Linked DNA regions of Danio rerio. The protein of the gene in region 2 binds, or shares a complex with, the protein of the main gene of each other region. Links are inferred from orthologs where the notes say so. Each region holds a gene or a part of one and is shown on either strand. Other genes may lie near its edges. The genes, in order: plxna2, nrp1a and plxna4.

Region 1 (4,128 bases), on a different chromosome or scaffold from region 2:
CAGGTGTGTGTGTGTGTGTGTGTGTGTTATACCCCATGATGTCCAAGTAATGGCCTAATAAATCTACTCATGCAGAAAGCAGATCTCACCACTGTTGGGCCAGGCATTCCTACACCTGCTGCTCCTCAACACAGAATCCAGTCGTCCTCCAGAGGCTCTGTCTGTGGAGCCATTCATCAAAGGTCTGTTTTTAATCATTTGTAATTTTGGTTAAGAAAAAATAGGTCTCAGCTATGTAAAATAATAATAATAATAATAATAATAATTTCTAGTCCATTTCTAGACAAACTGTGCTGAGAGTTGACTGAAAATGTGAATTGAACATTGACCAGAATCTAAATTAACAGCACATTAAGTACTCAAATTAAACGTGCATTAAGTTTAAACTGACTTACTGTAAATGAGGTTGTACAACTTACAAAAATAAGTTGAAATATTAACCTATTTTAGTACCTTTAAAGGATGGTTCACCCAAATGTAAACATTTCCTCATCGTTTCAATTCATTCTCAAGTTGTTTCAAACATTTATGAATTTCTTGCTTTTTTAAAAACCCAAAAGTTATTTTGGGTAAGAAGTTATTTTGAGGAATGTTGGAAGTCATTGACACCCGTAGTAGGAATAAAGCAATTCTAAGTCGATATCTGCTTTCCAACATTCTTCATAATATCATCTTCAGTGTTTGTGAGGCTGACGAACCAGGAAGACTTGTAGTGGGTTCTCGATGGATGGTTATGCGAGAAAAACTCAGGAAATTGATGGCACTGTACTCGCTAATGGAAAGTGTAAAGTGATGTTTTTTGTTTTGTTTTTTAAGGTGTACAAGAGTGAAAACCAAAATAACCCAAAGCCCCAGCAAAGTAACTAAATAACCACAAATAAAAGAACAAAATAATCAGCAAACAAACAAACAATATGTGTACAACCACACTATTATACAAGTCACAAATGGGTTATATGCACATGGACTTCAGCCAGTAAAGTGTCAGTCTTTCTATTGCAAAACTGTCACGTTTAGGATCTGATTTCTTTAAAAATGTATGAAGTGGGTCTCAGATCAGACAAGTAGCACTGTATTAAATTCCATTTCCCCCCCGCCATGTCTTTAAAATATGAGAGTTTATTTTACTCCAGTGTTTTCAATGGAATTTCTGCGCTAGCCTGTTGCTACTGACGGCGCTAGGGGTTACAACAGTCTTTTGTCTCGTTTTACAATTGAACAACTAAACTAATGATAAAGTCTATTCAACTGAATGTATTAATGCTGTAAAAACAACCTTGTGAAATTAAAAATAGTCATATTAAGCTTTCACCGGAAGTTTATCATTGGTTTTAAAACTCTAGTTGTGCATAGAGCCCATGCTGACTCGCTCACGCACTCATCCGTTAACCTGGTTTTCACTCTCGTGCACTGTAAATAAATGAAACCCAATCTTTGGACAAATAAATAAACGAATTTAACAAAACAAAAAAAGTCAATAAATGAAAACCACTGTTTGGTTAATTAAGTAAATAAATAAATATAAGTAAATAAAAATAATAAATTAATAAAATAAAAAACACTTTTTGGTTAAGTAAGTGTAATGAATAAATGAATGCATAAAAATAAATAAATATAAATCACTCTTTAAATAAATAAATAAATAAATAAATGAAATAAACAAAAAAATAAGTAAATAGATGAAAACCACTGTTTGGTTAAGTAAACAAACAAATAAATAAATAAATAAACACTCTTTGGTTAGTTAAATAAATAAATAAAAGAATAAACAAATAAACACACAAACACTCTTGGTTTTTACTCTCGTACACTGTACATAACCCATCACTTCACACTTTCCATCAGCGAGTATAGTGCCATCATTTGTCCGAGGTTTTCTTGCATTACCATTCATCGAGACCCACTATAGCCTTCTTAGTTCGTCAACCTCATAGTGTTGAGCAGAACAGTAGAAAGAAACTCAAACAAGAGTGAGTAAATGACTTTTTTTAAGTGAATTATCCCTTTAAATTTAGACAAAAACACTTGTTGTTGATGGGGGGTTTCTTCTTAAACGAAGATGAGGAAGGTAGGATGAATGGGCTTAATTATTGAAGGCTACAATTATTCTGATTGGTCTAGCAATGATATTTGATTGGACTAGCAATGATTACTAATGTGATGCCAGCCGCGATCAATCATATCATGTCCTCCTCTCTAAAATAACTTTATAAAACTTCATTTAGCGTTGTTTTGATTGCTTGGTAAAAATCTAATGCAAAATATACACCATTATAATTTTTTGATTTGTATCTTCACAGAACTTAAACAAATGATAGTAAAGCAAAACGACAGATTTCATTTTTCTTTTTCTGGACGAAAACAACCAAGAAAATTAAGCAACACCGGCTCATTGGAAACAAATGCTAAAAACTGCAAATAAACAAATAAACACTAGGGGGCAGTACGACGTCAACAACTTTTGTTCCTCTTGTCTTGACACTAGTGATATTTACAGGGACATATTGTCAACTAATAAATGACCTATTTGAGCAGTTCTTTCAAAATAAAAATCCCAAAGCAACTTAGACGCAATATAAAAAATGCATACGGTGTCCAGGATCAGTGATAGAACATGTTTACCTCAGCTGACATCTCCATGGTCAACTTCTCTTTTTCTGGTAGCTAGTGTTTGAGTCCGGCAAAGGAGATTCCACAAACGAAATAAAAGCAATGTAAAAAAATTCGAGGTAAAACTACATGCTTGCAGGGCACTTTTCTCCTACATTTGCTTTTAAAAACACTATGGTAAGTGGACATGTTCAAGGACGGTTTTCTAAAATGTAAAACAAAAAGTAGCGTATATAACAGCGCTCTCTAGCGGATTTGACATTGAATAATCATAGTTAATTTGTAGAAAGTAATTTATCAATCTTTACATGGACTGAGGGGCGTCACAGAGGGTACCACAATCGCCTCACAGCAAGACAGTTGAGCTCTGAGCCCTGTCTGGGTCAGTTGGCATATCTGTGTGGAGTTTGCATGTTCTCCCCGTGTTCATGTGGGTTTCCTCCAGGTCCTCCGGTTTTCCCGACAACTCCAAAGACATGCGCTATAGGTGAATTGGATGAACTAAATTGGCCGTAGTGTGTGTGTGTGTGTGTGTGTGTGTGTGTGTGTGTGTGTGTGAATGCAAGAGTGTATGGGTGTTTCCCAGTGTTGGGTTGTGGCTGGAAGGACATCTGCTGCCTAAAATATAGGCTAGATAAGATGGCGGTTTATTACACTGTGGCGACCCCGGATTAATAAAGGGGCTAAGCCGAACAGAAAATGAATTAATGCATATGGACTGACGCCATTCGATTAGATCAAGATTTGATCTGAATCAAGACTGAATTGACCTGAGATAAATAATAATAGTCACTGTCTTTAGCATGTTAGATTATATCTAAACTGAAGTCGTTTTCTGAATTAAATCAACACAAAATTCTGATACGTGCAAGATAATGACATACATGTCTCAATAGTTGAATGTCTGACACAATGTCTATTCTATGATGGACTATAAACTCAAAGCTGACTTGACTTCAGTGGGTAAAATATAAAGAAAAACATGAATCCTCTGAGAATTTTTGGCAACATATTTATTTTATTTCATAATGTTGCACTGATTTATTATATCATTGGCCTGTTAGATTAAGGTCTCCAACACACAGTAACACAACCTCTGCTTTTAATACTTCATAAAATCATCATGTAATAACATTGTAAAATTATTATTCATAACAAGCAAATAGTGAAACTAAAACTTTAGAAAAATGCTAATACCAGAACGCAAAAACAAATTATAATTACTGCAGCATACAAATAGGCATGGGCCGGTAGAAGATTCTGATGGTATGATAACCTTGGATAAAAATATCACAATTTCACAGTTATACGATATTGAGATTAATGCTCAAAAATATTTTCCTTATAAATATTTAAAAATCTAAACCTTTTGCCCCTTTGTACACAATATACTTTAATTTGGGAAACATTTATAGTATTTTAGAGCAGTAAACATTTCAGTCTAAATAATTCAAATGAATCATTGACTTCTGCTGTCTTCATTTGTTTCAAACACTCAGATTATTATTATTTTTTTAA
Region 2 (4,279 bases):
AATGCATTATTAAAATACAAACTCATGCTTGTTAACATTAGTTAATGCATCATGAGTTAACATGCTAACAATGAACAACTTTATTTTTATTAATTATTTTAATGCATTAATTTTAATGATGATTTTTATATTAAGTCTATTAAACTTACATGAGACCTTTTTTAATTCAATGTCTGGCTTGATTTGACCTCATGCAACATTGGATGACAGCAAACCCAGCATTTTAATAGTGTGAGCTATGATTTTAACCCTCTGATTGTTTTATATTAATCTGCATGCTTTGTTTTTTTTTCTGTGGAGAGAGGATAGAGTGAGCTGTAGGCGGCATTTTTGGCCGGGGCAGCCTCGCGGAACAGGGCGTGAGATATGGATCATGGAGTCCGCGGTGATCGCAACTTCTCCCGGATTCCTGCGGAATGAAGCCCGCTGTCCGCCTTTCCTCCGGTGCTTTAATATCCACTGCATGAGCAAGTGCGCGGTCATTACTGCAAAATATTAGGCTGACTCTGTACTGCAGGACCCTGTGTTTGTTTCCTCGCGCTGACTGCTTGGTTTAGCGTAAATGACGGATACAATGAGAGTTGCTGAACGCTGAGTGCTGTTCGGAGACGCTGATGTTTATGGATTTGACTGGAGATAACTGGGCGATCGCGGTCACCGGATCGTACTGCATTACTGCTGGATGTAACGGGGGTGACAGCTTGTAGGCAAGTGCTGATTGTTTGTCTGAGCAGGAAGGACTCGGTTGAAGTGACAGGCTTAGTCCGTTTAGCATGAAGAAATATCGATGCGATCAACTTATGTGGAGTCTCACTGCTGCAGTTTGTATTTGTGCACACACTGCAGTGTTAAACATACAAGATTGCAACAGATTTTAATCTTATATATCTTTAAAATGCAGAATGCCTGTCATATATTCATGTTTCGCTTGATATGCATCATGTTAAAGGAAGTTCGGGAGTAAAACACGCCGTGTTAATGCCAATTGTGGTAACATTGCATGCGTTTGCGTGAACATGCATTGGCAAATAATGTAGATACAATTCAGAAGGTGCACATGCTTCAATCCAGATAGTTGATCTAGTAGTTGTTGCAATCTAGTAGTTGTTGCGTGTATTAAACGTTGATGTTACACCGCAATCCCGACATCAAGAGCACTTCCAGAGCGCGCGAGGGCTGGACGGTGTCTCGCGGAGAGCTCGGGGTCTCTGTGCTCTTTTATACGGGAGGTTGGGCTCCATATAGGTCGGGCTTTTGCATATGTGTAATCAAACCAATGAGAATCCCCTGCGCGTCTGGCACACGGCAGAGCAACAAACTCTAGGAAGAAGAGAAGCGTAATTTAGGGGGTGTATCCCTTGTTTAAGACGCTGTTATGGCAAAGCCAATCGCCAGATGTTTGTGTTCCTCACTCCGATTTTGAGACTAAGCAGAACGCCGGGTTACTATACGCGGAGGCTGAATCTCGTATCCAAGCCGCACTTTTTTAGCCAAAGTCTAGCGATCTCTCTTGTCTTTGCGCACAGGATTACTCGTCTATTTCGCGGAACTGCAACGATTTTTTCCCTTTTCTGTCATTCTTTAACAGGGCGAAGGAAATGGCAAAGGAGAGAGGATCGGGTCTGGGAGAGCGCAGAGGAAACCAGAGCTGAATGGCAGGATGCGAGCGACCTGAAGACGCACAAAACCGCACATTTCTACAGCTCTCAGACCCTTTTGCGCGCTCTTTCGGTTTCCTTCTTTACACGCGAGAGGAATTACCCAAATACGACCATCTGAGGATTGTCTCATCGTTTTTTGCCAAATTTGTGTTATTTTTCCGCACTCCGAACTCCAGGATTCGAGGATGCATTGTGGATTAGTGTTGATCCTCTTTACGGGAATCTTTCTCATCGTCAGTGCTCTCAAAAATGGTGAGTGTCGGCTGAAACTGACGGCTGTCTAATGACTTTTTCTTGGGATTAGATGAGGGGTAAAGCCTGTTAACGAGGGGTTGCGACTTCGGGCTGGTCACCTGCTCTCACCTGCCGCCGCTTTCTGGCTCTGGATGACCAGACAAAACCATTTCACAAATCCGCGCTGAGATCCAGCTCGTATTTATAACACCGTACAACAAAACGCGCGGTGTGATTGTGCCCAAAACATGCGTGTATCTGTAATTAACATAGCTATTATTTACAAAATAGTAAATATTATATTTCATCTCATTCATTTGACTTGCTTTATTACATTATGGTTTCTAAATTACGAAATGAGCCTCTATTGTGCATGCGTTTAGATATTTACAAATATTAGACACTCGTATTTTAATGTGTAGGCGACAGTATAGCCTCTTTTTATATTAATACACATCTGCTACTCAGATGTTAAACATTACAATACGTTTAAATTAGTACTCTTAATAAACATTTATAATATAAAGTGCTACATAAAGTCTTGTTTCTCCAAAGTTTAGGGTTTATGATCGTAATCTTAAGAAAAATATCCACATTAAAGCATTAAATATTCCAGTGAATCGTAATAATGCTTGTGTGACTTTATTTTATGATCTACAATTATACATTTTCATTTAGGTTTGAATGTAAATAGGTGTAATAATGTTATTAACTTGTAAAGTTATGCTATTACTGACTAGGCCATTTGTATTCTTCTTCTTATGTTTCTGTTCCTGTATGTAAATCAGATAAAGTGTGTATCTTAATCACGCCTGTCCAGACTAAAAAATCCTGTGGGATTCTAGCAACATTTTCTCGGGTCACTTTAATGTAGACTTGGATACAAGATAGTCGCCAAACCACTTTAGGCACGTGGAATAAGTCATGCATGTTGTGCACTACATTATTAAACTAAATGAATGATTCAATATACCAAATTTGAGTTTTAAAAAGTTGTTATCGATATTATTTCACATTTTGGATTATCAACTTCCATTTCAAAACATCTAAGGATTACTCATTGAAGTATATATACATTTACTCCTGTTGAAATAATGTTACACTTTACCTAATGTAAAACATCTGGATCGCTTATGTATTCTTAATCTAGAAACTTAAAAATCTTGATCTGTTATTTATTTATTTATTTTTTGCTTGCTCCATTTGTCGACAAATTTGCGTTGAAACTGACAAATTTGTTGTCTGAATATGGACTTGGACACAAGGTAGTCGCCAAAGCACTTTAAGCACATGGAATAAATTATGAGTGTTGACCCAATTTAAGCTTTAAAAAGTTGTTATACATACTAACCACCTATTAAAAACCTCTAAGTATTATTCATTAAAAAAATCTAAATTTAATACATTTATAATCCCTGTGAAATGACCTTTTTAACATGTTACACATTACCCAATGTAATGCATCTGGATAATTTAGTTATCCTTATGTATGCTTAACCTAGAAACTCAAATATCTTGATCTGTTTTTATTGCTTGCATCGTTTGTTGATGAATTTACATTGAAATTGACGAATCTGTGGTCTGAATGTGTTCATTTTTATTCTAACAAACAAAAAAGACAACGTGTTTGTGTGTAAACATCTCCATCAGACCCTGAGCCATGCGCTTACTCTGTAAGTTTGTTTGTTGTTGATGGATATGATGAAATTCAGTGTTGATCCGCTGTGGAAGGGACCAAATAAATGAAATATTTAACAGACAAAGGTCACGCTTCCCTCCCACATAATGACATTAAATGTAGGCGCAAATATCAAGCCTTTATTTAGTGCTTAGAAATGGGTCAGAAATGACTAGAGGAGATTGTATCTCAGAGAGTATTTGGAGAGAAACGGCACAGTCATTCTTATGTCAAACCACAATAGTGCTATTGTATGAGGTGTTACAAAATAAACCATTTAGGCAATGTGATGTTGAACATGCACTGTGGGAAATAGATACTAGAAGAAAATCCAGTGTTAAGAGTGTTTAAAAAGCTGTTTTTATTATTGTATGGCTTCACTTTAGGTTGATAAACAAACATAATCATGTGTTGTAGTGAGACTGATTGAACTGAATAATCTTTCTCTTTTAATTCTCCATCATAAGGAAAATACTCCACGTAAGGAAAAGCATTCAGAAAGCAACATGTTGGTATTTTCTTCCAGCATGCGTGATAATGTGTCTTTTCTGTTCTTTCAGACAAATGTGGAGACAATATCAGGATCACTAGTGCCAATTATCTCACATCGCCCGGCTATCCAGTATCTTACTACCCGTCTCAGAAATGCATATGGGTGATTACAGCTCCAGGACCCAACCAGAGGATTTTGATCAACTTCAACCCA
Region 3 (3,652 bases), on a different chromosome or scaffold from region 2:
CTCTGTGCTGTTAGAATACAGAGATACAAAGGAGTTGATTGCATGGGGAATTGAGTTTCACATATCTCCCTATATTCAGTAGGTTTTTAGTGCACTGTTAATTGGATCTCAAGCTAATTAATTCTAATTACAATTTAATGATGAGCATGTCAGCGCATTTCATGTTTGGGAGAGAAAGTGTGCATTTTAATGTCCCCAAGAGCCATTATTCCTATTGAGCGTACTGCACAGTGCTAATACCAAAGACAATTCACAGAGGTCATCTGCTCCCATCTATGTAGTTTACTATAATTAGAATCAGGCAGATTGAAATGAACCTAAAATTTAGAACATGTGCTCTGTTGATTACGCTCACTTGGGGGGCATTTATAATCAGTAAAACCCACTGGACTGCAGTACTAGATTACTGAAATGGCTCTTCATGTGAATGTGTCTAGTACCTTCTTAGCAGTAGTTTGGGATGGTTTTTGCTTTCCAGGTTCTTGTCAATGAGGTCAGACAACAGGTGTTTGAGTACGTCGGTCGCATACTCCAGTTTACTTTGCAAAACGGTCATGATCAAGGAGGCGACATTGCCACGGTCTCGCATGGAGAAGCCTCTCTGAGACTCCAGTGTTCGGATGAAAGACAGCAGGAAAACCTTGTTGTTGATAAGTTGTCCAAACAGTTTTAGCCCCTTCTCCACCTGCTCCTGTCTGTAACCTGGCACCTGAGGGAAAAACAAATTACTCAATCAATCAAATCTAAACCAACATCATCAACTTTCCTAATGCACAATGGTCTCGTTTTATTTTTCACAGATAAATACATTCAATGTTAGCATTGCTGACTTTAGATATCTTTAGACCTAAATAAATGTCTTCAATGTCACGTGTTAAGAATGCTCACTTAGGCTCCAACTTGGGTTATTTGTATTGGAAGCTTTTTCCAGCCCTATCAATTAGCCTATGGCAATCCCAGCTAGTGTCCAATGAAACACCCACAGGCATTTAAACTGAAGAGGACCAAATATATTTAACAAATAAAAAAGAAACCTAAAGACAAACAAATCAGGATGCAGATGAACAGCTCAAATTGAATCTAATAACATCTGCTTACCGGGTTAAGATGCATTCATTATATGCCTAGAATTCCAAATGACAAACACTTAACCAGGCAGAGACCCCATAGTGTCATTTGATGCAATCTGTCTCATCAATAACCATTAAATACCTGTCAGAATCTCTAGACAGCTCCTGTCATTAGCTGTGATTTTACTATAAACTTTTCCAGAGAGAGGGGATGTTAATTCCAATTAAGGCTTAATTGATATAGCTGATTAGAAGCAGAGCTCATTTGCAATAAGCAGGTAAGGTATGGTTTGTATTCTGGCTGAAGAAACGTGTGTGATTCAATTAGAACTGTCCATCACTGTCTTTGCAGGGCATAAATAACCTGTAGCATGGTGTATGCTGCATTAGATTTTAATTCTGTTCCCCTCACTCAGAAAAAAAACAAAACAATTGTGTCACATGTCATTACTGTTATTAACGAAAGACTGATTGTGAATCAGAGAGCAGCTCATTACTTTAAAAAAAAAATTGTGAGCTAGAGAGAAAAAGACTGCATGTAGATTATAATGAGAGCTGCTGCCTATTGTTTACTGAGGGTGAACACAAACAGCACAGTGACAGCTTTAATTCCCAACAACCCCACTGAGCCGTTAGTCTTTCAGTCCCGAAAAACAGAAAGAAAATACTTAGCAGCCATTATGTGACTGTTCCTCGCACAGGTACAATGTGCAGTAATTACATGCATACAGAAATATGTAAATATATGCATGTACATCTCAAAAACTCAGCAAAGGGCTCTTTGAATGCAAATTGAGCATTGCACAAAACATCAGTAAAAAATGTTAGGATACCTCCAGGTCTCTAAGGACAGGGTGCTCCTCGATTCCAGGAAACAGAACCCGCATTGTATATGTGCGATAGTCCAGAAATGGTATACCAGCTCCATCCAGATCACTGGTCAACTCATGAATGTCCGTTTGCAGCTCAGCGAATGCTGCAAAAAATCCACAGTACCATGAACAAATAGGCTTTGGTTTAGGAATGATTTAGCATTTTTCATTGCTTATTAAATTTTAAAGTTCAAGCAAGTCTTATATTCTCAATTGACAAACCACTTCCCCTAGAGACCACTTACCCTCTTTACACTCTAGGGCTACTCTAGACTCCAGGTTGTCCATCTGCATCTGCAGGCGTTTGAGGGTGAGGTCACTCTCACGGGACTTGCGCTTGTAGGCAATTAAGACTATGACGATGAAAAAGATGAGAAGGCCTCCTGCCCCAGCAATGCTGATGACAGCAGTGCTGCTGAGGGGGCTGTCAGAGGTGATGTGGACCACACCTGGAGAAAACTCAATGCCACCCACACGTGCCTAAAATGAAGCAGATTTTGTAAACCTTTTTAATGAAATATATGAAGCGCTGTACCAAAAACTTGCATTACTAAACCTAAGCTATCATTCACTGATTCAAATTTATCAATGGAGAAATGCAATATTATTTGATGTTACATTCTGATAATAAGAACAATGGTTCATAAGCAGAAGGAGATTTTTCTGTTCTGTTCATGGTTGTAATGGTGCCACTGTTCTACGACTGTCAACAAACAGGCAGTGAAGTGGGCAACCTTCCAGAGTTCCCAGTGAGAAGCATAAAACTTGTTTAGTAGGTTTTTCAGCTCTTATAACTCTTACTCTGGAGGTATTTTTTTTCTCTGTCAGCCTCTCAGAAAGTACAATAAACACAGTCCCTAAAGGATGTGTTCACTGCAAAAAAAAAAAAAAAAAAAAAAAAAAAAAAATGGATATGAGCCACAGCATTCAGCAACTTACCAGAACCTTGTGGCGTCCAGTAAGATTAGGTGATTCACAGAGCAGTTGAGTATCTGACACAGTTAATGCACAAGGTTTGTCTCCAATCAGAACAGTGTAGTTGAGCTTCCCATTGCCACCAGGCGTGGGAGGTAGGAAGTTCCTGCCCTGAAATTAAAATTCACAAAAATCTCTAATAGCTGAAACTGACAATTTAAAGAGATGTCGCACAAATTTTGGTGAGCTTTTGGTTTACCTTCAGTATGATGGGAGACCCTGGCTTGAGCTCCTGAACCCCAGACACACTGAGAGGTTCGAACACAGGATTTGGGTAGTATACAAAGTTGGTGTTGTTGAGGGCCAGCACAGACTGAACATTGTCCAGGATGAAGCCAAACTCATCGGGTCTTTCTGGAACATCCTTGTGCTTGCTGATACTGTAGGGAAGCTCTGGGGCCATGCACTGCATAGTGGTTGGACTCAAAACCTGACATATCTGGTAAAGGGAAATGAATGTACAATAAATAATATGCAGTCCATGTGCAATTTAGAGTAAATAAAAACATTAAGATTTAGATTAACAATAAATGCACATTTTAGATTAAGATTGGTTTGATTGGTCATTCCTGAGTTGCTACAATAGAGGCTGCAGGAGTACATGTAGATGTTATTTGTCTCAAAGTTACACAATTCCAAGCACTTTTTAAAAGGCCATACTCTGTACCTGCCGTTCTGGTGACTCACTAAAGAATTACTACCATCATCTTTGCTTTGTAGAGAGAGCAGTTGACA

The links.
Region 1: the proteins of nrp1a (region 2) and plxna2 are in contact, whole or in part, in a crystal structure (PDB 4GZA), measured with the Mus musculus proteins. The link is inferred for Danio rerio from reciprocal best matches to the Homo sapiens genes NRP1 and PLXNA2. Residues at the interface, in NP_032763.2 of Mus musculus: Glu78, Arg80, Asp81, Lys83, Tyr84, Asp126, Tyr127, Glu128, Thr129; in NP_032908.2 of Mus musculus: Asp273, Leu274, Phe275, Glu306, Lys341, Gly342, Gln343, Lys344, Gln345, His348, Pro350.
Region 3: the proteins of nrp1a (region 2) and plxna4 are in contact, whole or in part, in a cryo-EM structure (PDB 7M0R), measured with the Mus musculus proteins. The link is inferred for Danio rerio from reciprocal best matches to the Homo sapiens genes NRP1 and PLXNA4. Residues at the interface, in NP_032763.2 of Mus musculus: Arg80, Tyr84, Asp126, Tyr127, Glu128; in NP_786926.2 of Mus musculus: Glu272, Lys340, Lys343, Lys345, Leu349.

The regions. Positions count from the first base shown.
Region 1 is NC_133198.1:36,290,696-36,294,823, forward strand, and holds the start of plxna2 (plexin-A2), read right to left. Parts: upstream 2,856-4,128; 5' UTR 2,623-2,855; exon of another isoform or gene 2,524-2,622; intron 185-2,523; exon of another isoform or gene 162-184; 5' UTR 90-161; intron 1-89. UniProt on the Homo sapiens protein: Coreceptor for SEMA3A and SEMA6A. Necessary for signaling by SEMA6A and class 3 semaphorins and subsequent remodeling of the cytoskeleton. Plays a role in axon guidance, invasive growth and cell migration.
Region 2 is NC_133199.1:1,384,726-1,389,004, reverse strand, and holds the start of nrp1a (neuropilin-1a isoform 1 precursor), read left to right. Parts: upstream 1-1,464; 5' UTR 1,465-1,846; coding exon 1,847-1,913; intron 1,914-4,133; coding exon 4,134-4,279. UniProt on the Homo sapiens protein: Cell-surface receptor involved in the development of the cardiovascular system, in angiogenesis, in the formation of certain neuronal circuits and in organogenesis outside the nervous system. Mediates the chemorepulsant activity of semaphorins.
Region 3 is NC_133179.1:15,828,268-15,831,919, forward strand, and holds part of plxna4 (plexin-A4), read right to left. Parts: intron 3,357-3,652; coding exon 3,117-3,356; intron 3,029-3,116; coding exon 2,882-3,028; intron 2,423-2,881; coding exon 2,188-2,422; intron 2,047-2,187; coding exon 1,904-2,046; intron 710-1,903; coding exon 441-709; intron 1-440. UniProt on the Homo sapiens protein: Coreceptor for SEMA3A. Necessary for signaling by class 3 semaphorins and subsequent remodeling of the cytoskeleton. Plays a role in axon guidance in the developing nervous system. Class 3 semaphorins bind to a complex composed of a neuropilin and a plexin.